Anolis sagrei: one gene and its partners. The protein of the gene in region 3 purifies or fractionates together with the protein of the main gene of each other region. This does not show direct contact. Links are inferred from orthologs where the notes say so. Each region holds a gene or a part of one and is shown on either strand. Other genes may lie near its edges. The genes, in order: EXOC6, EXOC6B, EXOC7 and EXOC8.

The links.
Region 1: the proteins of EXOC7 (region 3) and EXOC6 purify together in Homo sapiens (affinity purification with mass spectrometry; 4 studies listed by BioGRID and IntAct, counting the BioPlex papers as one, with this or other methods). This does not show direct contact. The link is inferred for Anolis sagrei from reciprocal best matches to the Homo sapiens genes EXOC7 and EXOC6.
Region 2: the proteins of EXOC7 (region 3) and EXOC6B purify together in Homo sapiens (affinity purification with mass spectrometry; 3 studies listed by BioGRID and IntAct, with this or other methods). This does not show direct contact. The link is inferred for Anolis sagrei from reciprocal best matches to the Homo sapiens genes EXOC7 and EXOC6B.
Region 4: the proteins of EXOC7 (region 3) and EXOC8 purify together in Homo sapiens (affinity purification with mass spectrometry; 4 studies listed by BioGRID and IntAct, counting the BioPlex papers as one, with this or other methods). This does not show direct contact. The link is inferred for Anolis sagrei from reciprocal best matches to the Homo sapiens genes EXOC7 and EXOC8.

What each region holds. Positions count from the first base shown.
Region 1 is NC_090023.1:186,661,445-186,669,226, forward strand, and holds the start of EXOC6 (exocyst complex component 6), read right to left. Parts: upstream 3,010-7,782; 5' UTR 2,870-3,009; coding exon 2,748-2,869; intron 1-2,747. UniProt on the Homo sapiens protein: Component of the exocyst complex involved in the docking of exocytic vesicles with fusion sites on the plasma membrane.
Region 2 is NC_090025.1:2,905,264-2,913,140, reverse strand, and holds the start of EXOC6B (exocyst complex component 6B), read left to right. Parts: upstream 1-4,867; 5' UTR 4,868-4,976; coding exon 4,977-5,080; intron 5,081-7,877. UniProt on the Homo sapiens protein: Component of the exocyst complex involved in the docking of exocytic vesicles with fusion sites on the plasma membrane.
Region 3 is NC_090022.1:118,826,076-118,833,501, forward strand, and holds the start of EXOC7 (exocyst complex component 7), read right to left. Parts: upstream 3,019-7,426; 5' UTR 2,897-3,018; coding exon 2,837-2,896; intron 198-2,836; coding exon 132-197; intron 1-131. UniProt on the Homo sapiens protein: Component of the exocyst complex involved in the docking of exocytic vesicles with fusion sites on the plasma membrane.
Region 4 is NC_090021.1:60,851,368-60,858,621, forward strand, and holds the start of EXOC8 (exocyst complex component 8), read left to right. Parts: upstream 1-4,234; 5' UTR 4,235-4,332; coding exon 4,333-5,892; intron 5,893-7,254. Other genes in the region: DNA-dependent metalloprotease SPRTN, read right to left, coding at 448-576, 2,565-2,664, 3,823-4,124. UniProt on the Homo sapiens protein: Component of the exocyst complex involved in the docking of exocytic vesicles with fusion sites on the plasma membrane.

The DNA of each region.
Region 1 (7,782 bases), on a different chromosome or scaffold from region 3:
ACTGATATGTGGCAGTTACTGGTTTGTTCAGTAGACTCTCCTCTACAGTTCTATTTTGGCAGGAAGCTTTAGCATTGAACAGTTGTATTGTTAAAGTGCAAAGTATGGAACCCTGGGCAGATGGTCAATGCGACTTAAGCAACATGCAGTCAGTGAATTCTTGACAGCAGAAGGTGTCACCTCAAAGGATATTCATCAGAGATTTCAAGCTGTTTATGGTGATTGTGTTAATGTGAGTACTGTGAGTCATTGGGCAAGTAAGTTTAAAGATGTTGAGATGGGAACAACTGACTTGTGTGACAAAGAGTTGGAGGTCCTGTAGCAGCAACCACCGAGTTTCACAAGCAAAAGGTTGACAGATTGATTCAGGATGATCATAGTATCACTCAGAGAGAAATTTCAAGCATAGTTGGCATTTCAAAAGAACGTGTGGGTCACATTACTGCTTTGCTTGGCTATCGGAAGATCTGTGCACGATGGGTACTCAGGATGCTGACTCCTTAAATTAAAGCACACAGACTTGAAACTTCAGAGACTGGATCTCACCACCATATGACACCCTCCATACAGTCCAGATTTAGCACCGTCTGACTTCCATCTGTTCCCGATAATGAAAGAAGATCTGTGGGGACATCATTATGCTTCTGATGAAGACATTGAGACAACTGTGAGACGCTAGTTGCTGGTTGCGGAAACAGAACGTCGACTTCTTCCGTGACGGCTTGGTATTCTATTTCAATAATTGCCTATCGGCTTTCAACTCACCAGGACTACCAAGGCACTGTGCAATGAATATCTTCATTATTATCATTTACATGTTTTTAAGCAGTTCTAAACTTATGTTTTTAATAAGAATGTATGTGTGTGCTTGTGCACACACACACACAATGTATTTCACATTACTTTAGCTGTTATGTCGCTGTAATGTATTTTATAACCAAATGTTAGTCCCAAAGTGCATCAACACCGTAGAATTAATGCAGTTTGACACTACTTTAACATCCATGGCTCAGAGCTATGGAATCATGGGAGTTGTAGTTTTACAAGATCTATAGGAGCGGGACGCAGGGAGCACACAACGCCCTTGTTGTTCCAGCTCCACTGGCTGCCGATCTGCTACCGGGCCCAATTTAAGGTGCTGGTGTTGGCCTACAAAGCCCTAAACGGTTCCGGCCCAAATACCTTTCTGACCGCATCTCGACCTATGAGCCCACGAGGACCTTGAGATCGTCTGGGGAGGCCCTTCTCTCGATCCCGCCTGCCTCACAGGCACGTCTGGCGGGGACGAGGGATAGGGCCTTCTCGGTGGTGGCCCCTGCTGTGGAACACCCTCCCTGCAGACATCAGACAGGCGCCCTCCCTTATGTCATTCCGCAAGAGCCTAAAGACATGGTTATTTGAGAAGGCGTTTGACTAAGTGCCACAACAATTGGCAATGACGACTGGAACGGAATATGGATTACGAGTTTGGTTTATGATTCCAAGATGAGACGGCGCGGATGATTTAGTGTAATTTGTATTATTGTTGTTGTTGATATTTGTTGTGTTATTGCCTTATTGTAAACTGTTTTTATATGTTGTACACCGCCGGGAGTCGCCCTAGGGCTGAGAACGGCGGTCAACAAATGCAGTAAATAAATAAATAAATAAATATAGCTTTCCCTGTCAAAAAGTGTTGGCATCTCACCAAACTACAATTCCAAGGAAAAGTGGAATGGAGGAAACAGAAAAGAAATATGTTGAAAGTGAACAGTGAAGCATGCCCACCCTGGCAACAATAACTGCTGCAACCCTTTCTTATTTCTTATAAAATCCCATATTATGTGCTTTGAACTGGGCTATATGGCAGTATAGACTCAGATAATCCAGTTCAAAGCAGATATTATGAGTTATCTGCCTTGATATTCTGGGTTATATGGCTATGTGGAAGGGCCCTATGACAACTTTATGAAAACCTGGTACAAAAATGCTTCATCACCTTATTTACATTATATGATGATGCACAGATATTACAGGACAAATCAAGTGTCTTATACTAATAGTTTCTGCAGTGTAATCTTCTTCGTAAATCAATACACACAAGTACAGCTATGTTATTTTAAAATACTCCCATGAGCTACTATAAATAAACTCGAATATGATACCATGTAATCTGATATGCATTACGACAAAAAAAAATCATGAAGAGATTTGCCTTTTTTTGTTTGCTAATTGCTATATTTTAACACAGGGTAAGTTAATCTTCTATTACAAATATCAGATAATTCTGTATTTAATTATGTAGACTTATCTAGAAGCATGCATATGTTTAACAGGCAATTCGTATATGAAGTGCAACCCCTTCCCCCCAAAAACAACTGCATTATTTGTTTCTTTAGCATAAGAACGGAAGATATAAATATATCGTCATAAATCAACATTTCAGCTGTTAGTAAAAACCTGTTAGCCATACCACCACAAAGATAGACCTAAAACAAATAATTCCATCACACATTTTGATCAGAAATGGGAATGAGAAAAGTATTTTTTAAGAACAGCCTCTTAACATCCTGAACTTAAATGCTTTTCATCATAGTAATTGAAAACAAAGAATGCATTTTCAGCTTTGGGATGTCAACCTGTACAGGCTGGTTTATAACTAGGTCTGTTTTTATTAAAATAAGAAAATATAGTATAATTGCTCTGAATATTTTACAACAAACCCAGCGGAAGGAGCATAAAGTACATTCTTGGCAGGAGATACTCACCCTAAAGTGATTCCCAGGGGCAGCTCCAAGTATTTAATCTCACCAAGGACTGTTTCATACACATTATCTTTGTTTTCTTCCATGCAAAATCCATCTGTGTTAGGACTGGCATTGGCAGCCATGGTAAAGCACTAAACTGTTCCAGGCATAAAGGGAGGACCGTCTTCTTTTAATATCACCGGAATGAAAGACTCTCTCACCAGCAAAAGGAGAAAGCAAATCCTGATTTGACATTGGGCGTCCTGAAGACATTCTGCCCACAAGTGTGACACAGCTGTTGTCATCCAGCCTGCTATAAGTAGCCTTTTCCTTATGACCCCAGACTTGTTATGACGCCAGATCTGTTTCATGCCTACCTATTTTAATGCAGCCAAGAAGCAATCAATCAAAATGCTGGATGTTTATTTTATATAACCATAAAGCCTGGAAATGTTGGTAAGTTAGACTGCAACTCCCACCCACCTCCACCTGGTAGGGCCATCAATCATGTTAGATTGGCATTTTAGGAGTTATAGTGTTTGTTTATTTATTTATTTATTTGAAGCATTTCTACCCCACCTTTCTCCACAGCGCAGACCCAAGGTGGCATAGAGCATACCAGAATATAAAATCCATCAAACAGTTATACATAAAAGGTAAAACCTAATAAAACATAAATCAATAAAATTTATTTATTTATTTACCATATTTGTATACCGCCCTTCTCAGCCCGAAGGCAACTCGGGGCGTTCACAGTTGGCAACATTTGATGCCTCAAGAAATAAAACAATCATAAAATACCATTAAAAGCATTTATGTAAAATATAAAAATATAAAAACCGTACAAAGCCATAAAACCATTATTGTGAGCGCCTCCTTGTTAAAATCGTTATTCAATTGCATCATCAGGTCGTTCCATGATTTCGTATAATTATGCTGGATTAGCAAAAGCCTGCTCAAAAGCCAGGTTTAAACCTTTCTTCGAAAAGTCAGGAGGGAGGGGCCCTCTCTTATATCCCTGGGAAGGGCGTTCCACAATTGAGGGGCCACTACTGAGAAGACCCTATGTCTTGTCCCCGCCAAACACATCTGTGAGGAAGGTGGGACTGTGAGTAGGGCCTTTCCAAAAGATCTTCGTGTCCTAGATGGTTCATAAGGAGAGATACTTTCGGATAGGTAAGCAGATCCAGAACCACTTAGGACTTTATAGGCTAAAGCCAGCACTTTGAATTGTGCCCAGAAGCAAACTGGCAGCAGTGGAGCTGGCGCAACAGAGGAGTTGTGAGCTCTGTTCCTATTAACAACCTGAGATGGAGCCCCCGGTGGCGCAGTGGGTTAAACCGCTGAGCTGCTGAGCGTGTTGACCAAAAGGTCGCAGGTTCGAATCCGGGGAGCAGCATGAGCTTCCGCTGTCAGCCCCAGCTTCTGCCAACCTAGCAGTTCAAACACATGCAAATGTGAGTATATCAATAGCTACTGCTCCGGCAGGAAGTTAATGGCACTCCATGCAGTCATGCCAGCCACATGACCTTGGAGGTATCTATGGACAACATTGGCTCTTTGGCTTAGAAATGAAGATGAGCACCACACCCCAGAGTCGGACACGACTGGACTTAATGTCAGGGGAAAACCTTTACCTTTACTTATACAAGAGATAGGCTGCAGTTGGGTGTTTCTGGATATAATAACCTAGCCTTGGGGCTGATTTTTGGGAGAAAAGTATTTGTCTTATTTTGGTAGTAGATGCTGCTGGTTTCCCCCCAGGTTTCTGGATTTTTGGTATCCTGACTTGTCTCTTGGAATCCTGGAACCTTGAATCTTTGGACTGGCTTTTGACTACAGTATAGACTCGTGATCCCTGGACTGTACTCATTGAACTTTCAGCATTTGACCACTGAACTGGACCCTTTGACTACGGTGTAGCATTTGCTATCAGTTTTTGTTTTATATTCTGTGGCTGAGTGCTATCTTTATGTTTTATATTTTGGACTATTAAAACAGCCAGAAAGTAAGTGCTGTTTTAATTAAACTTTTGGATACAAACTGGGTGATTGTTTGGTTCATCTCTACCTGAATAAGGCAGAGCCCTGGCATTGTGACAATCATCCACCAAGGTGACCAAAGCTGTTCCATGTCCTGGTCTGAAGCCAGATTGGAATTGACCCAGATAATCAACCTCATCCAAAAATCCCTGGAGATGTTTAGCCACCCGCTTTCCAGGATCTTACTAATAAATGGTAAATTAGATACCAGCCTATAATTATCCAAGATTGTAGGATCCAGGGACTGTTTTTTAGATGGGGTCTAACCACTGCTTCCTTCAAAGCAGTAAGAACCAGGCCTTGATCTAGCAAGGCATTAATTAGTTCCCTGTTCCAGATCGTACTCCTTGTTTTGCTTGACCAGTCACGAAGGGCAAGGGTGTAGGATGCAGGTGGTGGCTTTCACTTCTCCAATGATTCTGTCAGCATCCTCAGGTGACACAAGTTGAAATGAATCCGTGCAAACAAGACCAGACGATGCAGTGGGTGCATCCATGGGAATTGCTTTAATAGTGGAATCCAAAACCGCATGGCTCCAACCAATCTTGGATGCAGAATAACTCACGAAGGTCTCACAGTCACAATTAGAGTGAAATTGATGGCCTACAATTCTCTAGAATGGTACCCTAGTTCAAGAGCCCTCTCAACACTCAGAAAAGTTTGTTGGGCCTGTTATTAACGGCCGTGTCATGATGCCAGGGCTCTGCCTTATTCAGGTAGAGGTGAATCAAAAAATCATCCAGTTTGTATCAAGCAATTTAACCAAAACAGCACTTATTTTCTGGCTGTTTTAATAGTCCAAAACATAAAACATAAAGATTGCACTCAGCCACAGAATATAAAACAAAATCAGCAAACACTGTTGCAGGTTCAAGATAACTCTGTAGTCAAAAGGAGTAAGAAACTCTGTAGTCCAGTGATCAAAAGCTGAGAGTTCAATAAACAAAAGTCCAGGGATCTATACTGTAGTCAAAATCCAGTCCAAAGGTTCTAGGTTCCAGGATTCCAAAGGTTCAGGTCAGGACACTGAAAATCCACAAACCTGGGGGAAACCCAGCAGCATCTACCACCAAAATAAAACAAATACTTTTCTCCCAAAGATCAGTCCCAAGGCTAAATCCTTATATCCAGAAACACCCAGCTGCAACCTATCTCTTGCATGCTTGCACCCTTAATTGTTTTCACCCATGAACTCTTACTTACAGATTACTCAACCCTTTAGAACTAAGACTTACACTAACCCTTCCATCACCAACTGCTAGGCCTACCACCACCAACCACCATCAACTGCAGAACATAATACATGACAGGCTGCAATAGAAGTAGAATAGAATGCCTTCTTCACGGTGTCTATAGCAGTAATTACTTATATTTAATACTGATATTATACTATGCTAATAATATAATATCTTGTAAGCCGCTCTGAGTCCCCTTCGGGATGAGAAGGGCGGCATATAAAGGGTCGTAAATAAATAAATATGCCTTTTGCTGGCTGATGGTTTCCTTCTGGTCGGAAATGTGACTTTTTTTACTCCACTTGCACAGAAATATAAATTTCTCATAAAAATGAAATATATGTTCCTGGGCTTTTAAAAGTTTGGGCTGGTTTAAAAATGGCATTTTTCTTAACTTTGATATCAAATTCTGACTTCCCACTGCCAATTAAAATAAAGTCACATTTTCCATGTTCAGATCTTTCCTGTTGCTTAAAAAAAAATTCCACACACAAGCCAAGGAAATAGATCATGTTGGAGGAAATGCCACTAAATGTACAAAGGTCGACATGACATGTGTTGATCAGCAAGTTCATGATGATATTAGAAGTACATCTTTGTAAGAGTATTATTAAAATAAAAATATGGGGCAATGCAGCCATCAGCCAAATATAATATAAGTGAAGTAATATGCCTTACCATTAAAAGGCCATGTTCCCCACAATATTATTGAAATTAAGACGGATATGACCTAACTGCAAGACTGACGGGAAATTTATGTTTTTGACATGCAGTAATGCCATGAAGCCAAAAACTGCTGAATTTGACAAAACAATCGCAGTGAAATTGAATAACTACATCCAATAATAAATAAATACTCAAAGTACTATAGAACTTCCAATGGGAAAATGCTGAATGTATAACCTATGTATTGAACTTCATTCCAAAATGAATATATAGGTATTTGTTATTCGATGTGAAGGTGGAGCAGTCTATTACAGTTAAGATAATCTATTGGAAATGTAATGTTTTTGAAAGGCAAATGCTTGGCTCCGAATGATTGGAAACAGATTATAATTCCAGCTAAATAGGGTTTGAGAAAGACACTGACAGGGCTACAGAGATAGCATTTTGGATACAAATTATCGATGATATTAGGGAAACTTGCAGTAGAGGTATTGTTTTATGCAATTTAACATTTGGGCAGTAGATAACACTACATATGTAGCACCATTTTTGTTCCCGGGTTACAAATGTCATTTCCTAATTGGGTCTAGCCTAAAAACATGGACAAAGTTTATTAAACTGCAAAAACTTTGTTTTGGCGGGACATCCCACAGCATATTTTGCTATCATTTTTCAATGAATATCTCATTGAGTTTCAACCAATTCAATATAGTTTGTGGCGGACACAAAAACACAGTTTCTGGAGTATAACAGATGCTTTCAAAGTATGTGCTGCACAATTAAACAGGAAAAACACGCTTTTAAACAAAGAACAGAATATTTTTCAATTTTTGTAACATAGAGAATTAGTTAGCTTTCAGGGCTTTTTTTGACTATAAAGGGCAAAGGTGTCCCCTTGACATTAAGTCTAGTCATGTCTGACTCTGGGGGTTGGTGCTCATATCCATTTCTAAGCTGAAGAGCTGGTGTTGTCTGTAGACACCTCCAAGGTCATGTGGCCGGCATGACTGCATGGAGCACCCTTACCTTCCCGTGACTGCATGGTGTTGTCCATAGACACCACCTAGGTTATGTGGCCAGCATGACTGCATGGAGCGCCACTACCTTTCCACC
Region 2 (7,877 bases), on a different chromosome or scaffold from region 3:
TCTCCTCTCTTGTAGTTTGAAGCCATTGTTCCATTGCATCCTAGTCTCCAGGGAAGCAGAAGACAAGCTTGCTCCCTCCTCCCTGTGACTTCCTCTCACATATTTATACATGGCTATCATATCTCCTCTCAGCCTTCTCTTCTTCAAGCTAAACATGCCCAGCTCCTTAAGCCGCTCCTCATTGGGCTTGTTCTCCAGACCCTTGATCATTTTAGTCACCCTCCTCTGTTTGGAGGAAGAGTCGGTTCCTATGGCAGAGGCGAATGCAGCGCAACCAGTACTATGTCTGAGCTGATGGTAGGAAACAGGAGGGAAAATGCTAAGTTTAGAAAGGGTACAAATGTTCTTTTAATGCGGCAGGTATAAAAAAATAGGTAGTGTATTTTCATTATGGCCCAAAACCTCCAGCATCTCTGTCCAATTAGACACAAGAAGCAACGAGGCTGTTCAACAGGTTTATTTGGCCAAATCACCCTGCTGGGTGAACAAGAAAAAAGTGCCACATAGACTGAGACACTGCTTCGTTATTTATAGTCAACACTTTGAGCATATGGTTGCTGTGAGTTTTCTGGACTGTATGGCCATGTTTCAGCAGCATTCTCTCCTAATGTGTCGCTTGCATCTGTAACTAGCATTTTCAGAGGTTCTGTTTGCCGTCACATGGTTTTCCAGATAACTGTATAATAATAATTGGCCAAGGGAGTGGTCAGTGCCTCTCTTGGCCAAGGCAGAGTCCCAGCTGTCCAAAGGAAGCTGCTGTTTCATAGAATCAAAGAGTTGGAAGAGACCTCATGGGCCATCCAGTCCAACCCCATTCTGCCAAGAAGCAGGAATATTACATTCAAATCACCCCTGACAGATGGCCATCCAGCCCCTGTTTAAAAGCTTCCAAAGAAGGAGCCTCCACCACACTCCGGGGCAGAGAGTTCCACTGCTGAACGTCTCTCACAGTCAGGAAGTTCTTCCTTATGTTCAGATGGAATCTCCTCTCTTGTAGTTTGAAGCCATTGTTCCATTGCGTCCTAGTCTCCAGGGAAGCAGAAAACAAGCTTGCTCCCTCCTCCCTGTGGCTTCCTCTCACATATTTATACATGGCTATCATATCTCCTCTCAGCCTTCTCTTCAGGCTAAACATGCCCAGCTCCTTAAGCCGCTCCTCATTGGGCTTGTCCTCCAGACCCTTGATCATTTTAGTCGCCCTCCTCTGTTTGGAGGAAGAGTCGGTCTCTATGGCAGAGGCGAGTGCAGCGCAACCAGTGCTATGTATGAACTGATGGTAGGAAACAGGAGGGAAATGCTAAGTTTAGAAAGGGTACAAATGTTCTTTTAATGCGGCAGGTATAAAAAAATAAGTAGTGTATTTTCATTATGGCCCAAAACCTCCAGCATCTCTGTCCAATCAGACACAAGAAACAACGAGGTTGTTCAACAGGTGTATTTGGCCAAATCACCCTGCTGGGTGAACACGAAAAAAGTGCCACACGGACTGAGACACTGCTTCGTTATTTATAGTCAACACTTTGAGTATATGGTTGCTGTGAGTTTTCTGGACTTTATGTCCATGTTTCAGCAGCATTCTCTCCTAATGTTTCGCCTGCATCTGTGACTAGCATTTTCAGAGGTTCTGTTTGCAGTGAGGCAAGTTTATTTATTTCCAATATTTCTATCCCGCCCTTCTCAACCTCTTCTACACTGCCCTATAAAATTCAGAGTGTCTTTGAACTGGATTCTATGGCAGTGTAGACTCATCTAATTCAAAGCAGAATAGTCCAGATAATCTGTAGACTCATATAACCCATATCAAAGCAGATAATCTGGATTATATGGCAGGATAGGAGGAACCTCATATAACCCAATCCAAAGCAGAGCATCTGGATTATCTGCTTTGATCATCTTGATTATGTATCAGTGTAGATCCATCCTTTGATGGAACAAAGAGGCTCTCATTCCCTGCAGAAAGGATACTTTTCAAAGGCAGTCATTCATTTGCTTTCCAAACAACAATATTTGGGTGAAAGGGCATCATTTACATAGATTTATCCATGCCTAATTTTATGCTCATTTCTCGCTATATGAACATTTTCAGTTGAACAGGCACAGAGTGGGATGAGCCAACGCTGTCTGTAAATACAGAAGGCTATATATTCCTGTTCTGCTTTACATGCTTCAGCAAAAACTAAACTTTGCAGAACTATTCTCCAAGATGGTTTTCTCTACTTTCTGCAGAAAGAATAAAGAATCCGATTGATTTCCTACGTTTGGAGGGTTCCTCTCTTTCTTAAAAACAGACTACAAGACTGTTTATAAGGTGGGTGCTAGAAACAATATCATACGAAAGCTGACTGGCACAACCTGGGGATCACAACCAGACACAGCGAAGACATCTGCCCTTGCGCTTTGCTACTCTGCTATTGAGTATGCATGCCCGGTGTGGAACACATCTCACCATGCTAAAACAGTGGGTGTGGCCCTTAATGAGACATGTCGCATTATCACGGGGTGTCTGTGCCCTACACCACTGGAGAAATTACACTGCTTAGCCGGTATTGCACCACCTGACATCCGCCGGGAAGTAGCAGCCAATAGTGAAAGGACCAAGGCAGAGACATCCCCAGCTCATCCCGTTTGGGTATCAGCCAGCATGCCAACGACTTAAATCAAGAAATAGTTTTCTAAGATCCACAGAGACACTTGCTGGAACACCTCAGCAAGCGAGAGTCCAAAAGTGGCAGGCTCAAACCCAGAACCTCAACCAATGGCTGAAACCAAATGAGAGACTCTCTCCCAAGCACACAGAAGACGGGGCAACTTGGAAGGTGCTGAATAGGCTGTGTTCTGGCACCACGAGATGCAGAGCCAAGCTTAAGAAATGGGGCCACAAAGGCAGCGCTGATGGAATCATTCCAGGAGTTGCATGTGACGTCTGTAGACAGTCCATGTTTCGCAGGCATAGAGCAGGATTGGGAGGACAATAGCTTTATAGACAAGCACCTTAGTATCCCTACGGATGTCCCGTCCTCAAACACCCTCTGCTTTATTCGGGAAAATGCTGCACTCGCAGAGCTCAGGCGGTGTTGTATTTCGGTGTCGATGTTGACTTTGGTGGAGAGGTGGCTGCCAAGGGAGCGGAAATGGTTCACATTTTCTAATGTTACACCATTAAGTTGTATCTCTGGCATTGGAAAGGGTTGGCTGGTGTCTGCTGGAAGAGCACTTTGGTTTTCCCGATGTTCAGTGACAGGCCAAGCTTCGTGTATGCTTCTGCGAAGGTCGCTTGTAGATCTTCTGAATGCGCACAGACGACATTGTCATCAGCATAGTGGAGTTCTATAACAGATGTTGTTGTAACCTTGGTTTTGGCTTTCAGTCTGCTGAGGTTGAATAGCTTGCCATCTGTCCAAGAGATGATTTCCACTCCGTTGGGAAGCTTCCCATCAACAAGGTGAAGTATCATAGCGATGAAGATGGAGAATAAAGTTGTAGTGGCAGGGTGTTGCCACTGGAGAGCATCGGCAAACCGTACTCACCAGATGCACACACGGTTCCTACCCCACTGACCATGTAAGGACATTACCCTTGAGGGCAGGAAGGATTACATCACCTATAGCTGACCTCACCTGTAGATTACCTCACCCTTGAGAGTTCCACCAATCACCTGGCCATTATATAATCACCCACTGTCGCTAGGCAGACTTTTGCTGAAGAGCACCAGAACCCATATAAGCTTTGCTTGGGCAACAATAAAAAAGCCATCATCATTCACTTTGACGCCCTGTCTCCCGCCTGGTCATTATTGCGTCCCGACATAAAGTCGGGGCAATAACACATCCCTGTTTGACACCCGATTCCACCTTAAATGGTCCATCTGAACATGAGGAAGAACTTCCTGACTGTGAGAGCCGTTCAGCAGTGGAACTCTCTGCTCCGGAGTGTGATGAAGGCTCCTTCTTTGGAGGGTTTTAAACAGAGGCTGGATGGCCATCTGTCAGGGGTGATTTGAATGCAATATTCCTGCTTCTTGGCAGAATGGGGTTGGACTGGATGATGGCCCAGGAGGTCTCTTCCAACTCTTGGATTCTATGATTCTGTTGACAGGTGGCTTGCCCTATGATTGCAGCCAAAAGAAGCTACCTATCTGCCGAGTCCTTGAAACTTAGGACTGCAAAAAACATTCAATGCAAAGCAAACAAAATTGGTGCTCCTGGTACAGCTGTACCTGCACAATTATTATTATTACTATTAAGGCAGGTAGGCAGGAGCAGCAATAACAACAATCGGGAATGGAAAGCAAGGCTTCACGCGCCACCTACCGGTCGCAGCGGGGAACGCAGCAATAAGAGTGCAAGGGAAGGTGAGCTAGCGATGCGCGCGCAGCCCGCTCCTCCTTTTTGCTTCCTTCCCTCCCTGAGAAAAGGGGCGTGGCCTGGCGAGGGCGATGCGCGCGCAGCCCGCTCCTCCTTTTTGTTTCCCTCCCTCCCTGAGCAAGGGGGGGGCGTGGCCTGGCGAGGGCGATGCGCGCGCAGCCCGCTCCTCCTTTTTGTTTCCCTCCCTCCCTGAGCAAGGGGGGCGTGGCCTGGCGAGGGCGATGCGCGCGCAGCCCGCTCCTCCTTTTTGTTTCCCTCTCTCCTTGAGCAAGGGGGGGCGTGGCCTGGCGGGGGCGATGCGCGCGCATCTCGCTCCTCTTTTTTGTTTTCCCTCCCTAAGCAAGGGGGGGCGTGGCCTGGCGGGAGCGATGCGCGCGCATCTCGCTCCTCCTTTTGTTGTCACTCCCTCTCACCCCGTGAGTGTCGGCCCGTGAGAGGGCGCTGTTTCTCTTCCGGACTACGCTTCCCGTCATGCGCAGCGGCGGCGTCTCCAAGGGGCGTGGCGGTTGCCATTGCTACGGGCAGGCGGAGGGGCGCGGCCTAGGCCCAGACGGAGCCTGATTTCCCTCAGAGGCTCACTCCCGGCCGCGCCTCGCCTGTCTTCGGGCTCCGATGGCGTCCTCGGCGGGGGAGAGCCTGGAGGCGGCGGCCGAGCACGAGCGCATCCTGCGGGAGGTGGACAGCACCGACACGGCCTGCCTGGGGCCCACCCTCCGGTGAGGAGAAGGGAAGGGGAAGCAGGAAGGCAAGAGGCCCGCCCTCCTGGCCCCTCACCCTGCCAGCCCCACAACACATTTATTATTTACTTTACTATTTATTGACTTTATTTTGTATAATAAATATTTATACTGTATAATAAATAAATACAAATATTTATTATATATTTGTATAATAAACATTGCTTCCCATTACCTCCACTCAGAAAATGTGATATAGTCATAGCTTGGCAGCTTGACAATAGGAAAATATAGGGCTGAATGTGAGCCAGGGGTGTGGTGCAGCAGCACAAAAGCCCAATGCGATTCTAACCTGGATCAATGAGAATCTAATGTGTGAATGGAGGATAGTAACATAGCCATGTCCTGATGATAGTAAGATATATGGCTGAATATGAGCCAAGGGTGTGATGCAGCAGCACAAAAGGCCAATGCTGTTCTAACCCAGATAAATGAGAATCTAATGTATGGATAGAGGAAAGTGATATAGCCCTGGCCTGATTATAGTAACATATATGGCTGAACGTGAGCCAAGACTATCATGCAGCAGCACAAAAGGCCAATGCGATTCAAACCCGGATCAATGAGAATCTAATGTCTGGATGGAGGGAAGTAATATAGCCCTGGCCTGATTATAGTAAGATATATGGCTGAACGTGAGCCAAGGCTGTCATGCAGCAGCACAAAAGGCCAGTGCGATTCTAATCTGGATCAATAAGAGTCTAATGTCTGGATGAAGGAAAGTAGTATAGCCTTGGCCTGATGAGAGTATGGCTGAATGTGAACCAAGGCTGTCATGCAGCAGCTCAAAAGGCCAATGCAATTCTAACCCAGATCAATAGGAGTCTAATGTCTCGATGAAGGAAAGAAATATAGCCATGGCTTGATGTCAGTATGACATATGGCTGAACGTGAGCCAAGGCTGTCATGCAGTAGTTCAAAAAGCCAGTGCGATTATTCTAGGCTGCATCAATAAGAATTTAATGTTTGGATGGAGGAAAGTAACATAGCCATGGCCTGATTATAGTAAGATATATGGCTGAATGTGAGCCAAGAGTGTGATGCAGCAGCACAAAAGGCCAATGCGATTCTAACCCGGATCAATAAAAGTCTAATGTGTGGATGAAGGAAAGTAACATAGCCATGGCCTGATGATAGTATGGCTGAAAGTGAGCCAAGGCTGTCATGCAGCAGCTCAAAAGGCCAATGCGATTATTCTCGGGGGTGAGAAGGGCGGGGTAGAAATGGTGTAAATAAAATAAACAAACAAATAAATATTCTAGGCTGCATCAATAAGAGTCTAATGTCTTGATAGAGGAAAGTAAAATAGCCATGGCTTGATGATAGTAAGATATATGGCTGAACGTGAGCCAGGGATGTGATGCAGCAGCTCAAAAGGCCAGTGCGATTCTAGGCTCTATCAATAAGAATCTAATATTTGGATGGAGGAAAGTAACATAGCCTTGGCCTGATGATAGTGTGGCTGAACGTGAGCCAGGGGTGTGGTGCAGCACCACAAAAGCCCAATGCAATTCTAACCCGGATCAATAAGAATGTTTGGATGAAGGAAAGTAATAAAGCCATGGCCTGATTATAGTAAAATAGATGACTGAACCTGAGCCAAAGCTGTCATGCAGCAGCTCAAAAGGCCAATGTGATTATTTTAGGCTGTATCAATAAGAATCTAATGTTTGGATGGAGGAAAGTAACATAGCCTTGGCCTGATGATAGTGTGGCTGAAAGTGAGCCAAGGGTGTGATGTAGCAGCTCAAAAGTCCAATGTGATTGTAGGTTGCATCCATAAGAATCTAATGTTTGGATGGAGGGAAGTAATATATCCATGGCTTGACAATAGTGATATATATGGCTGAACGTGAGCCAAGAGTGTGATGCAGCAGCAGAGAAGGCCATTGCGATTCTAGGCTGCATCAGTAAGAGTCCAATGTGTGGATGGAGGAAATTAACATAGCCATGGCCTGATGATAGTATAGCTGAACGTGAGCCAAGGCTGTCATGCAGCAGCTCAAAAGGCCAATGCTATTCTAAGGTATTATATTTTAGGTAGAAGAATTGAACTGTCAATATCAGGCCTGGGCCAACTTGGGCCCTCCAGGTGTTTAGGATTCCAACTCCCACAGTTCCAAACAGCCAGTAGGGCCGACATTTACCTGTGCCTCATCTATATGTACATATTTAGAGATAGATGATGGCCTTGAAAACAGTCCATGCGAAAGGGATCTCGGAGTCATAGTGGATCCCAGTGTGATGCGGCAGCTAAAAAAGCCAATGTGATTCTAGTCTTCATCCAGAGGAGTCTCGTGTCTGAATGGAGAAAAGTAAGATAGCTATGGCTTGACAATAGCGATATATATGACTGAATGTGAGTCGAGAGTGTGATGTGGCAGCAGAAAAGGCCAATGCGTCTCTAAGCTGCATCAAAAAGAGTCCAGTGTCTGGATGGAGGAAAGTAATATAGCCATGGCTTGATGATAGTAAGATATATGGCTGAATGTTAGCCAAAGCTGTCATGCAGCAGCAGAAAAGTCCAATCCAATTCTAACCCAGATCAATAGGAGTCTAATGTCTCGATGAAACCAACCTCATAGGGCTTGTTCTCCAGACCCTTGACCATTTTAGTCATCCGCTGGAATGTGTCCAGAGGAGGGCGACTAAAATGATCAAGGATCTGGAGAACAAACCCTATGAGGAGCAGCTTAAGGAGCTTGGCATGTTTAGCCTGAAGAAGAGAAGGATGAGAGGAGATATGATAAATATGCATAAATATGTGAGAGGAAGC
Region 3 (7,426 bases):
AACTGGTGTAGAGATTGGAACCATTTCCTTCAGCACAGTCTACTGCAAGATTAGTTAACATTATCGTCAAGTAAAGCACAACTGAGACATGTCACATACTTGATTTAAAAAAAAAAAACAGACAAACCTACCATGTTTTTGGTGAGTTGGTCACTTTTTTCTAAGCTCTCACTAATAAAAGACAATGTCTCTTCTTCCTGTCAGTGCAAACAGAGGGGAAAGTATTAACCTGTGTCCTGAAATTTCAAATATTACCTTTCTAAATTCTTAACAAAATTGCAAGTTCTCAGTAACTGTGTAGCCGTAACAATGAAACACTGTCAATTCCCCCCCCCCCTCCCCGATAGAGAGGTTTTCTGGTGTAATTTCAGGATTCATGTGAGTCCTAGTACTTCTCCTGTAAGTGCTAGAGAAAACAGAGTATTTTGTGTGCCAATAGTTTTTCCAGATGTTCACCAGGAAAGTCCTACTCTTTGTCTACTGTACGAGGAAGGGGAGGGCTTCTGGAGACAAAGAGCATACAAAGAGCCCACTATGTAATTTTTTAAGCTTTTAAATGCTGATGCAAGGAGTGCAAGACAATGTGACATCTCCTATGGTGCCACCTGTGGAATAATAATTGGGAAAGAATAAGATACTTTACACTGTGCTCTGAGCTTAAACCCTGGTCCTAACTGCAACACATTAAGCTCCTAGGAAGCAAGGCTGGTAAATGCACTCCCATATAACTGTGCATAGGACTCTGGCTCTCTTCTTGTTTTAGCTTTTGGTGCAGTTTGTAAATCGGGGGGGGGGGGGCACCCACTATTAACAGAGGACACACATCCCATTACAGAGCAGAAAGATCATCTAAGCCTAACAGGATACCAAAACAAACAAACAAATTAGGAGGGCAACCTGGGCCTTCTGGATATCCTCCAGAGGTGCAACTTCTATTGGTTTTGTCATTTTTGTCATTTATTTCTTTATTGAACTGCCATCTGTCAGGGTGCTTTGATTGTATATTCCTGCATGACAGAATGGGGTTGGACTGGATGGCCCTTGGGAGGTTTCTTCCAACTCTGTGATTCAACAACTACACTGTATATCCTGGCACCTTTATACTCAAAGCTACCTTCTATTATTTCTGGGTGCCTTCAAGTCATTCCAGCCTTATGCGACTAGGGATTCAGCTTGTGCTGGACGGGGTCACATTCTCCTGAAGACATAGGTCCGCAGTTTGGGAGTTCTCCTGGATCTGGAGGTCCATGTGTTGAAAGTGGCTGCGAGGACCTTTGCACAATTAAAACTTGTGTGCTAATTCCTTGAGAAGCCAGATCTCGCCACGGTAGTCCATGCCTTTGTAACATCCCATCTGGATTACTGTTATGCGTTCTACGTGGAACTGCCTCTGAAGAGTGCTGGGAAACTTCAGCTGTTCCAAAGAGCTGCAGCCAGGTTGCTCACTGGGGTTGGCTGCAAGGAGCTGACAACCCCCTGTTGAAGAAGCTGCACTTGCTGTCTATCTGTTTCCGGGCACAATTCAAAGTGCGGGTTATGACCTTTAAAGCCCTAGACAGTTCAAGTCCAGGCTATTTGACCGACCACATCCCCTTGTATGAACCTGCCTGGGCCCTGTGATCTTCAGGAGAGGCCCTTCTCTCAGTCCCACCTCTATCTCAAGTCCAGTTGGTGGGAAAGAGAACAGGCCTTCCTTCTTGGTGGCGGCCCCTCGACCCTGGAACTCCCTTCTCCCCAGGAAAGCCAGAACAGTCCCCTTCAGACAGAAAGTTAAACCCTTTTTAGTCAGGCAGGCTTTTAAAGAAGAAGGTTTTTTAAGGTCATCAGGGGCTGCTGTGATTTTATATGCTTTTTATGATGTTTAATACTGTTTTAATACTTGTATATTTGTATATTTTTAGACTGTATTGCAATGCTTTTAGTTGTGATCCGCTTTGAGTAGCCGTATGGAGAGAAAAAGCGGGGTATTTGTTATTTATTATTTCACATATTTGTATCTCGCCTTTCTCACCCTAAAAGGGGACTCAGGGCGGCTTTACAACAGGCCGCAATTTTATGAAAATACATATAAATACAAAAATAAACAAATACAATTAAAACCATACAATTAAACATTTTAATCAGAAATAAACATAATCATAATAATAACTCAATTAATTGTAACACTCAGGCAGATAGCAACAAAAAGAAAAAGAAAAGAAATAATACTTTAAATTTAAAAATGCTGTTTTTAGAATATCATAAAACAATAAAACTGTGTTACAATAAATTTGCCCTTTCTGTCTCAATATGCTTTCAATTATTGTGTTTCAATATTAACACCAATCCAGTTATAGAGCTTATGGGATGGCATTGTATGGGGCATAGTATTACTGAGGCCTGCTCTTAGTAATAACTCTCAAGCAACCAGAAGCTACTTTCATATTGATCCCCATTGGTACCAGTTAACTGAGAGTCTGCTGCTATTATGAAAAATCTGCCTAAACATAGTCATAACACTTAAAATATATTCAAATCCTGTGTTATACTTTAAAGGACTGAAAACAAGCACACACACACACCCTCCACCTCACACACACAATATAGTCCAGGCCTGAGCAAACTTAGGCCCTCCAGGTGTTTTGGACTGCAACTCCCACCATTCCTAACAGCCTCAGGCCCTTTCCTTTTCCCCCTCAAGGAAGGGGCCTGAGGCTGTTAGGAATGGTGGGAGTTGGAGTCCAAAACACCTGGAGGGAGGGCCCAAGTTTGCCCAGGCCTGGTATAGCCTCATGACTCAATGCCGTGGCCGGGGGCTGATGGCGCTGCAGCCTCCTGCTCCTCCTTGAGGCCCCACCTGCTTGAGCTTCTCCTCTATCTCTCTCCTCCGGGCCGAGGCCTCCTCCGTGGGAATCATCCCGACCCGAGGCCGGCCCTGGACTGCTCCAAGGCCTCCGCTGAAGCGCCTTCCAGCTCCTGTCAACACTCACTCCACTTCCGCCTCATTCCCCGCCTTTTCCGGTCCGAGAAGGTCGCCATCTTGAGAGAGGCAGGGGAAAATTCCCCGGCGAATGGAAGAGCGCCCTCCGAATCTGTCGAACCCGCAAAGCTAGTGTCAGAGGGAGTGCTACTGCGCATGTCACAAGCCTATTGGGCGAGGCGCCGAACGCCCCCTAGTGGGAGACCCGCAAGGAGAGGAATGTGCTAAAATAACCATCCCTGAAGGTGTGTCTGCACTGTAGAATAAATGCGGTTTGACACTCCTTTAACTACCATGAGATTTTTAGCTTGATGAAATACCAGCAGTCTTTTGCAGAGAAGGCTAAAGACCTTGTAAAGCAGGCATGGGCAAACTTTGTCCCTCCAGGTGTTTTGGACTTCAACTCCCACAATTCCTAACAGCCTTCTGAATTTTATTAGTATGTTATGAATTAAGTTTGATTTGGTTGTATGTTTACTATTACTCTATTGTGTTTCTTCTTTTGTAAGTCCCTTGGGGAGATGGTAGCAGGGTACAAATAAAGTTTATTATTATTATGATGATGATGATTATTATTATTATTATTATGATGATGATTAGCTGCCCCAAGTCGTTTTGGGGAGAAGTGGTGGGATGTAAATAAAGATTATTATTATTATTATTATTATTATTATTATTAGAAACACAACAAGATTAGAACACATTAAACAAGTTCGCCATGCTGGCTTAAGTGCAGGCCAAGGTCCCAGATCACTGGGACCACCTTTACTGGCTTGTGCCAGAGTTTTTGCAGTTTGATGTATTATTATTATTATCATTATTATTATTAGACACACAAAAAGATTAGAACACATTAAACAAGTTCGCCATGCTGGCTTTTGTATTTGATCACATGTCGGACACTCCCCAAGTGTCTAGGACTGTGTGATGTATCAGCGAATAATGTGTGCAGATCTGAGTAGGATGTCCTTTTGCAGCTGACAGATGGTGATTTTGTCAGTGCCAAATGTTTTTAAGTGCAGGCCAAGATCTTTAGGCACTGCACCCAGTGTGCCGATCACCACTGGGACCACCTTGACTGGCTTGTGCCAGAGTTTTTGCATTTCAATCTTTTAATCTTTATATTGTGTCAGCTTTTCCAGTTGCTTCTCGTCAATGCTGCTGTCACCTGGGATTGCAACATCGGTGATCCATACTTTGTTTTTTGTTTTTCCCAGGATTGTGAGGTCAGGGGTATTGTGCTCCAAAACTCTGTCAGTCTGAATTCAGAAGTCCCGGAATAGATTGATGTCTTGATTTTGTGTAACTTTTTCAGACTTGTGATCCCACCATTTATTTATTTATTTATTTATTCTACAAATGTGGTAAGAAACAAGTGAAATGCAGTGTCCATCTTTTAAAAAAACTTTATCCAAAATATCTTATCCACTAGATGTCCCTGTGCGCTGATCTTGAGGGGGAAATAGTAAAGGTTGAATGCTTTGTTTGCTTTGGCCAATCCCCAATTCTTACACTCAGGACATGTCATTTGTAATTTAATTGGGACATTCCTTTCAGGTGGGGGGCCAGCTATTCTTGATGCAACTCAGATAAAAGTAAATACTTTGTCCTGCGTCCTAATCCACTTAGCAAACAGCAGTATGCACCACAAAAATGTGCTGGAGAATGGGGAAATGTACTGCCTGCCTGGCAGGGATTCCATTGGCCTTTTCAGCTGGAGACACTGCAAGCCATGCAGGTCCCTTTGAAATAAATCCCTCATCCCTTGGCGGTGGGTGGGTGGGCCACTCCTGGATGCCCCATGCCATATCCGCTTCAAGGAGACTGAGCCCTCCACTATTGTTAATGGGCTCTTTTGCTTCAGGAACCCATTGACAAAGGTTATGTATTATACCACTCACATCTTATGTAGATAACTGGTTCCCCAACTGGTTTAGAGATCCAGTCAAGGTAAAGATGCCAGAAAGAAAGGTGCCAGCTAGAATAAGGCCTGAGGCAAAGTGAGGAGAATGACTCAAATGGAGTTAATTAAACTATGGGATGTTATCAGTCATTTCATGGGTGTGCGGGCAGTGCCAGATTTACCATTGTGCTTAAACACAGGGACCCGTTGGCCAGAGGGGCCCATCTTCCTGTCAAACATTTTTTACAGTCAATTTTACTTATGTGGTGCATTTTTAAATTTTAAGGTGTTCTGTTTTGGACCGATTCCAGACATAATGATAGCGTTGATAGTCTATGGAAGGCAGTGTAGACCTACCTGGCCTCCCTCCTTAAAGGCCCAAGGAAGGAAGAGGCCTCATAACTAGCAAGGGGTCCCATTTGTTCTAAATCCAGCACTGTGCTATTTGCGCTATATGGACAGCACACAGTAACTGAATTGATTTTGTTGGGTGCAGCAGGCTTTCCATAGATAACTGTGCATATTGCTGAATTGTTTTTATTTTGCTTTGGTTCTGTATTGTTATATTGTGTGTTGAGGCCTTGGCCTTTGTAAGCCGCATCGAGTCCTTCGGGAGATGCTAGCGGGGTACAAATAAAGTTTAATAATAATAATAATAATAATAATAATAATATGGTAGATTAGTAGCATGGTCTTACACATCAGAGGAGCTCAAAAGCCCCAGCCATAAGTTTTGTGAGTCTTGGCATGCCTTCAAAAATTCTCTGCAAGCAAGCCATTCAGATATCTGCCAAAAATGAACGGTTGGACTCCCTTTTGGGCATGGAGGAAAGAGGGGAGAAAAGGCAGGCAGCATCCACTTTTTGCTTTAGCCTTGTCCACTGTTGGATTTGACTTGGCTTAGAGTCCCCATTGGCTATTTTGGCTGTAGATTGTGGGATTTTTAGTTACAGAATCATAGCATTGGACGGTGCTCCCCAAGCCTCCTATTACAGCCAGTCTCTGAGTTACAAACATTCAACTAACAAAAAACTGGGAATTCAGTTGGTTGGGAACCACTGGTGTATAGGATTGCAGCTTCAGTAACCTGCTCATCATATAAAGTGCTTTTAATGCCCGTGGTGACTATGATTTCAGTCCCTTCCTGTCCCCACTCCAAGCAATCTGTGGTAATTTGATCTTTTCCATAGTTAACTCACCAATTTTCCAGGGTCAATAAGTCACTTACCAACAATTAGGCACAGACAGCCTTTCATATTTGGAACCTGACAAGCACTCTTCTGTCCTCTGCAGAGCTGTTGTTTTTTATGTGCATAGGCAAAATTGAGATTGGGCTCTTGTATCTTCCTATATGTAACTTGTAGCAGCAGAGAAAACTGCTTTGGAGATGAAACTGCTTATAGTGTCCTTTACCTTATATCTCTACTCTAGGTTGGTAGACCATATTCTTCTTTTACAACCTGTGCCAACTCAGGTAACATCAGGGCACAAGGCTACCTTTCCTTCAACTTATGTGTGAGAGGAAAAAAATTTGGGCATTTGGATTCTTTCTTTTGTGTCTGACTTCTTCATTTGATGGCATCATTCAGGACTTACATGGGCACAGATGCTGAAAAGATGTCATTTTGGGCTATCTTACCGCACAACGGATTTTGGGTTTGTTTGGGGGTTTTTGTTGTTGTTGTTTTTGCATGTTTTCAAGGCTAACGAGGGAGGGGGGACTGGTCACTACCACACCTTAAGAATTTAAGTGTTTTATTACAGATTGAAAGTGGGCAAGAGGAGAACCAAGAAATAGGGGCTATTGTTGTGTCGCTTGTTGAAGCACATTTCTTTCAGCTAAAGCATGGCACCATGGTCATTACTCTAAGAGATATGAGGCGGGAGAGAGGGATCAGCCCTCCACACATTTTCCACTTCTTGAAGAAACATTCTCTGAAAGATAAAGGTGAAGAGCCAAATTCTTGCCAACCAGCAGCCCAGCAACAAGTAACAGCTGGAGAGGAGGAGATTTAGAGAGGACCGGAAATTTGTTTCTGGCCACACTGCTGGCCTCTTTAAAGCCATGGAGAGAAACCAGCAAACTACAAGAGCAGAAGTGGGGCCCTTCTATTCAAAAAGAACTGGACATTTGGGGGAGGTGGGAAGGGAGGCGCTGCATCCAGACTCAAGGTTTTCTTCCTATATGTGTGTTTCATTGTATTTTAAAGAAGATGCTAACCATTAAAGTACTTTAAAAGAAAATGCAGTTTCCCTATACTGCCTTTCTCCAAGTATACCATTCAGGGAGGCATACAACAAGTTTAAACAAAGTGTGGCTCATAATAATGTAGTGCTAACTTTTAAATCATGTCTCACCTGTTACAATAATATAAGCATTTTTATGAGTATTACAACATTCTGCAAATTTCTACCCAGAACCCATTGCTTATGAGTAAGAATAAGTCAGAAACAAACTCAGCCATGACAGTAAATGGATCTGGGATATTATTTCAATTTTGTCGTTTCCAGGATAAAATCCTAGTTATTTTGGGGGTTTTGTTGTAGCAAACAGTCTGCACTGT
Region 4 (7,254 bases), on a different chromosome or scaffold from region 3:
AGCTTACCATGGGCAATGACTTGAACACTATGTGAACACAATCCTGGATTAGACAAGTCTCAGGCCTGATTCAATATGGTTGTTTTTGCACCCTGGACACCAAAGTTACACAGGAAGACAAGGCTCTATCAAATTAATGGTTCCATGGGAGAATTGGTCCAAAATATATATCATTTGTGTATTCATTCTGGTCATAATACTTAAAAGTTGCAATCTAATAGTAAGCTTCATACAGTTAAATGACAAACTGTATAGTGTTAATATAAACAGTATAGTGTTGTTCTGTGCCTTCAAGTCACTTCAGAATTAGGATGATCCTAAATCTAAAGTTTAGGGCGGGGTCCAGGTAAATTACATTGGAGGGCTGCATCCAGCCTGCGGACCTTAGTTTGGGAACTAATCTGTTGTACTTCAAGCATTGAGAAGTGCCTTACAAATAATGTTTACCGTAATATTTGTGCCAGTTAAGCGATTTATCCGATCCATGTGTTTGCAGAACTCCGGGCCATGAGAATCGTGATCTTTGTCATTATAAGTGACAAACAACAGAGCATGAATCATTTCATGTAAAAGAGTCTGAAATTTTTAAAAAATCATTGGATTAGTTGAAATGTTTATTTCTTAAGCAATAAGAAATAGTTATCTACAATTGGCTTAAAACAGAGATGGGCTGCACCAGTTTAAAATAAACACTTAAAATGTTTCCTTCCATTTTTCTCATTCTCTGGCATTGTTCGTTGTAATCAATATGGCCTTTAACTAAAATCAAAATGCTACAGCTGGCAAACGAGGAGAGGAACAAAGAAGGAGGCAGGAGCTCAAAATCACTCCCAGCTTTATAAGAAGTCAGATTTGTTAGTCTGACCTGAGAATTTGTTTGACCTGACACACAAGTCCATAAATGAGGTGGGCAAGAGTGAACACATGTCTGACTGTGACAACTGTGTGATCTACTACAGTTGGGTGAGAGATACTTCCTCTCTTTAGACTTTTTCTACACACTGGGATTGTATTACTTTAAAGGGCTTCTTAATTTTTGTCAGATCAGAAATGTTATTCTATGATTTTCCTGAAGCTAAAATGTGAGGGAATTTATTTATTTATTTATTTAAGACATTTATATGCCACCCTTCTCACCCCGAAGGGGACTTAGAGTGGCTTACAAGACATATATATATATATACAATATATTATTAGCATAGTACAATATCAGTATTATATATTACTATATTGTACTATACCATTATATTGTAATATTACTAGTAACATCACATGTAATATAAAATATATAATTATATCATATTGTTAGTAGTATTATTATATTGTATTACATTATAATATTATAAATATTATATGTATATACAATATAGTACACTACATTATATTATATTATTAGCATAGCACAGGAAACAAGGTAAAACTGTCTTCTGGCCCCCTCTCTCTTCACTCTGGCCCAGAGCAGCAATTGGTGCTGGGGGAGTGGTCCCTAACTGATGACAAATGCAGGAGACAAGATGGAACTGTCCCCCCCCCCCCTTCACTCTGGCCCAGAGCAGCAGTTGGTGCTGGGAGGAGGGGTCCCCAACTGATGACATGAGGGCTTATTGTTAATATTTTTGTTGTTTTTGAATACAACAAATTACATCAAAACAAAAAAATTCCACCGTGAGCATTTCATTTTGTAATGCTTCTCCTTCTGTAAGTTTCAAAGGTAAAAGATCTGAGAAGCATATTTCTTTGAAATCAAAGTTAAAATATTTTCAATATGCTACATGCATCACACCCACCTTACTTTTTGACAGCTGCTCAAATCACTGGATCCTCTCATTTTAGAGCAATGGTTCCCAACTTTTAGTCTGACAGGTGCTTCAGACTTCAGTTCTTATAATTCCAAACAGCTGGTAAGCTGGCTAAGATTTCTGGAAGTTGAAGTCCAAAACACCTGGAGGACCAAAGGTTGGAAATCACTGTTCTAGAGGATCAAAAATCACTTACAAAATACAGAGTACTACCTTGAGTACAGCTATGCCTCTAAACATCTAAGAACACCAAAAACATTAAAAGCAAAATACACTTTTCAGTCACAAATGCAGTCACGTTATCTAGCAGAGGGAGGGCAAATTTCATAGAATCACAGCCTTCTTAGTAACTGGTGGGAAGGAGTGAGAGAGCTGAACAACAACTCCATACAGATGACATCTGACCCCAAAACTCCAGATGATCTCTCCCAGTGGCTTCATGTAAATGTTAAACAACATAGGGGGGAATACTGATCCCTAGGGGACCCCACAAGTCAATGGTTGTGAAGTAAAGCAGTTGTCCCCCATCAACACCTTTTGGGAACGACCCTCAAGGAACAAAGATAAATGATCTGTTTGTTCTTATGTTGAGGCCGAACAAACTCATATCAAATAGGACATCAAACATAAATGCTCATGTGAGGAGCTAGATAACTATTCATTCAAGGGCCTTCTGGACATATTTGAATGTTCAGGCATGCTAGCTACAATAAATTTACTACAGTTTGTTTGATGTTTCTCTACAAAGACAACCATCAACAGTACCTCTACAAGATCCTTTCTCGGTCGCAGCTTTAGAAGGGGCTCACTAAGTCGAATGGAGCACATTCCACCACGGCCTTCATAGCAGCAAACTCCTGCACATCTAGAAAATAATAAATCACAAACAACAAACATTTGCTTTCAACTGCAACTTGGCTGTTCTGTATTCATAATGCATTAGGGTTCTTACCTTGTTTGAAATAGAAGGTTGGACGATTGTTCTCCTTGGGGGTAAATAATCAGGACTTTTCTCTTTTACAGTAATTTGTTAGAAAATTTAAGATTGTGATTAGTGCCTATTTTTTTCAACACGTTTATTGATCAACAAGGGGAAGCTGTAGCCAAATATTAGTGTGAAAGTGGATACAATCTAATAAGTGTTGTTAGAGTAATGTCAGGTTCAGACATTGGGGAGCAAAAGGTAGGCATGATATAAGAGTTAGGTGTTAACTTGGATCCATAAGTCAATACTAAAAAGTAACTTTAAGGAGATAGACTCCATGTAAAACTTATTCCAGCAACAGAAATCACCTAGGATATTAAACAGCCTGGTTTCCAGGCCTATCTGAATTCGGCTACCCACTCCTGAGGTCTTTTATTCACAAAGGTTTCCTTACTTCTGAGATTCCTCTGCTCCCAAGAAAGATGACTCTTCTAGGGCTTAAGATGCATGTATCACTGACAGTAATTGCCAATGGCTGCATGTTCTTACTTGGACATTTCCTGCATGTAGCTAGATCATTCCTTCCATAAAAGATTGCTCCAGGCACTGCCAGGCAATCAAATGCTAATCAAGGTGGTCAGCTGAAACATTCACACCTAGCTCCAGCAGACAAGAGTCCTTTGTCTCACCCTGGTCATTCCACAGATATATAAACCCTTTTTCCTAGTTCCAACAGACCTCACTACCTCTGAGGATGCTTGCCATCGATGCAGGCGAAACGTCAGGAGAAATGCCTCTAGAACATATAGCCCGAAAAAACCTACAACATCCAGCTAGTATGAGAATTCTGGGATTGTGGTTTAATCTGAAAAGGAACATTTTAGTCCAGACTTGAGAGCCAAGGGTAGTTCTGACTACTGAACTATGCCTTGGGGAGGTGGTTGGACTGGATGGCCCACGAGGTCTCTTCCAACTCTATGATTCTATTGAAAGTTTCCCCACGCCTGGGCTAAGCCAACCCCTTAAAAGAGGTAAGGACACAGCCATAAATCCGAATAAGAAAATGTGTGGGGCACAACGTGTCCCATGAAACCGTACAGCGTCATGCGGGGGCTCCACTTCACCTCCACGGCCTCCAGGGCCCCCCAAAAGAGGCTCTGGTTGAACTGCAGGAAGAGGCCTCGCACGTCCGGGCTGGGATCCAGCAGCTCCCAGCTCTCGTCCACCAGCGACAGCGGCCGTGCCGGCGAGGTGAAGGCTGGGCCGGCCTTGAGGGAGGCCCGTGCGCGGCCGCCCTCCTCCGCGTTCCACTCCTCTTGGAGCCGCAGCGCCAGCAAGAAGTCGCCGTCCATTGGAGCACAGCCTTTCGTTGAGCCCTCCGCCTTCAAATCCCGGCGCATGCGCCGTAAAGCCGAGGGTTTGTTGTCTTCCTGCCTCGGAGAGAGTCGCGCGCCTCGCGTCACTGCGGCGCGGCGCCTTGACGTTTTTTACGCAGCGGCGCACGTAAGCGGCCTTCCGGTCAGAGGCGGCCCCTGCTTCCGGCGCAGCGACGCCTTGCTTCCTCTCCCTCCTCGGCGAAGGCTGGTCTCTGGCGGCTCCGGCTCGGCCATGGCGCTGTCTCTGGGTGAGGTGGCTCCGGGCGGCGGCGGCGGAGGAGGAGCGGGAGGGAGCCGCTTGAGGCGGCAGCTGGAGTCCGGGAGCTACGCGGCCGAGGAGTACGTGAAGCAGCTCTCGCAGCAGTCGGACGGCGACCGGGACTTGCAGGAGCACCGCCAGCGCATCCAGGCCCTGAGCGAGGAGACGGCGCAGAGCCTGAAGCGCAACGTCTACCAGAACTACCGGCAGTTCATCGAGACGGCGCGCGAGATCAGCTACCTGGAGAGCGAGATGTACCAGCTCAGCCACATCCTCACCGAGCAGAAGGGCATCCTGGAGGCCGTCACCCAGGCGTTGCTGCTCCTCCAGGCCGACCGCGACGACAGAGCCGCCGGGGCTGCCTCCTCGGACCCGCACGCCAACCCCTTCCTGCCCCTCTCCGCCAAGGAGGCGGCAGCCAGCGAGGAGGGCCGCCAGCGCACCCTGACCACCCTCCTGGAGAAGGTGGAGGGCTGCCGCGACCTGCTTCCGGAGAGCCCCGGCAAGTACCTGGTATACAACGGGGACCTGGTGGAGTACGACGCCGACCACATGGTCCAGATTCAGAAGGTGCACGCCTTCCTGATGAACGACTGCCTGCTGGTGGCGGCCTGGCTGCCCAACCGCCGGGGCACTTACCGTTACGACGCCCTCTACCCACTGGACGGCCTGGCCGTCGTCAATGTCAAGGATAACCCGCCCATGAAGGACATGTTCAAGCTGCTCATGTTCCCCGAGAGCCGCATCTTCCAGGCCGAGAACGCTAAGATCAAGAAAGAGTGGCTGGAGGTGCTGGAGGAGACCAAGAGGAGCCGCGTGCTGAGCGAGAAGCGGAGGCTGGAACAGGAGGTGCCGGCAGCCCGTGCGCCTCCCCCAGCCCCTCCAGAGGCTACCAACCCCTTCGATGAGGATGAGGAGGAAAGTGGGGAAGGGGGGACCCCAGAGGAAGAAGTGGTGGATCTCTCCCTGGAGTGGATTCAGGAGTTGCCTGAAGACTTGGATGTCTGCATCGCTCAGAGAGACTTCGAAGGGGCGGTTGACTTGCTGGATAAGCTGAATGAGTATCTAGGGGATAAGCCCTTGACACAACCAGTCAGGGAGTTACGAGCAAAAGTGGATGAGAGAATCAGGCAGCTCACCGACGTGCTTGTGTTTGAGCTTTCTCCAGATAGGTCACTTCGAGGTGGGCCCAGAGCAACCCGTCGTGCTGTTTCTCAGCTCATCCGGTTGGGCCAGTCAACCAAGGCGTGCGAACTTTTCCTGCGGAACAGGGAAGCGGCCGTTCACACAGCCATCCGACAGTTGCGCATTGAAGGTGCCACTCTGCTGTACATTCACAAGCTGTGCCATGTCTTCTTCACCAGCCTGCTAGAGACCGCAAAGGAGTTTGAGACGGACTTTGCTGGCAACAGTGGGTGCTATTCGGCTTTTGTTGTCTGGGCTCGATCAGCAATGAGGATGTTTGTGGATGCGTTTAGCAAGCAGGTGTTTGACAGTAAGGAGAGCTTATCTACTGCTGCTGAGTGTGTAAAGGTAAGGGCCCAAAGTGATGAGATGGAAAAAAAACTGTGTTACCCTTAATTACATATCCTCTAGATCACAGCTTCATAAAACTTTGGGTCCCAACCTCAAGCGGGGTTCCCTTTGCTCAATGTTGGAGTCCAGAAACATTTGTCAGCAGTAAACGTTTTCTGAATGTCAGCTAGTGGGTGTTTTGACATTTGCACAAATCTGTTGTGCAGTGTTCACAGTAATTCTACAGAAGATGCTTCAGGTATAGTTCATAAAAAGGAAAATCAGCCTGTTTAGCAAGCCTCACAAGTGCTGATTTCTTCTCACATCTATTGATGCCTATTCTATATATTTGTGTACCCACAAAAAATTCTTAGGTCAAAAGGCGTCATGAGTGGAAACGTTTTCCAAATAGTGTCCTTGAATTTAGAAGCAACATGGAAGCAAAGTATTGAGTCATCTAGCCCAGCTTCCTGAGACAGGATATTATTTTTGTAGGCAGTTATTTATGATGGCCGTGGCTTTGTGTGGTTCACTCATCCCAATGCTCAGCATTACTCCAGTCATTTTTCCTGTTTTGCTTTCTTATGTTTTCTAAAGATCTATTGCTGTTTTTCACAGCAGGATAATACCTGTTTTTCTTGCCTTCCTAACACTAAAGAACCCCGCCCTTTTATCATTTAGTAGATGAGGGAGGACAAGTTATGTACAAACTCCCTCTGTAGCTTGGCTTTATCCCAAATGGTTTGTTCACATACAGAAGTGAGGGTGTGGCTTGCCTGCCGAAGAAAGGCAGTATGTACTGAAAAACGTAGCAGAGAATATAGGGACTAAACTTGCAAGTGGTTGCAATAGTCAGGACAACCTAGCACTTTGAGCACTTAGTTTAATCGCATCTGGAAATTATTGGATGGGTAGAATTATATCCCAACACCACTCCTTTCTCTTCAATTCTTAGCACTGTGGAGTGTGTTAAAGATTGTCTTTTTCTTATGGCTGGAATGGTGGCAGAAATAGAAATAAATGCAGAGTCATGTACTGCTTTCTGCTTTCATGGCAGGTTTCTATTTACAAACTAATGTTAAAGATTTATGGACCTGACATGGCTCAAATTAATGTTGACTGTGCTATTTTGAAATTGATGCAGAAAGCATGTTGAAATTGACATGAGACCTATCACTTTAGGTAAATTTAGTCACAATTATTTTGTTCTATTCTTGTTAAGGGAATTAGGCACAATTCAAGTTTGTTGAAGACCGGCATAGTTCTCTAAGGTGGGGGTGGGGGTTAATCTCTCCTTGAATCTCTATTTTGAGAGAAAGCAGAATAAAAATGAAGCAGAATAAAGCAGAATAAAATGAATAAAATTTTGGGTTAAACCGA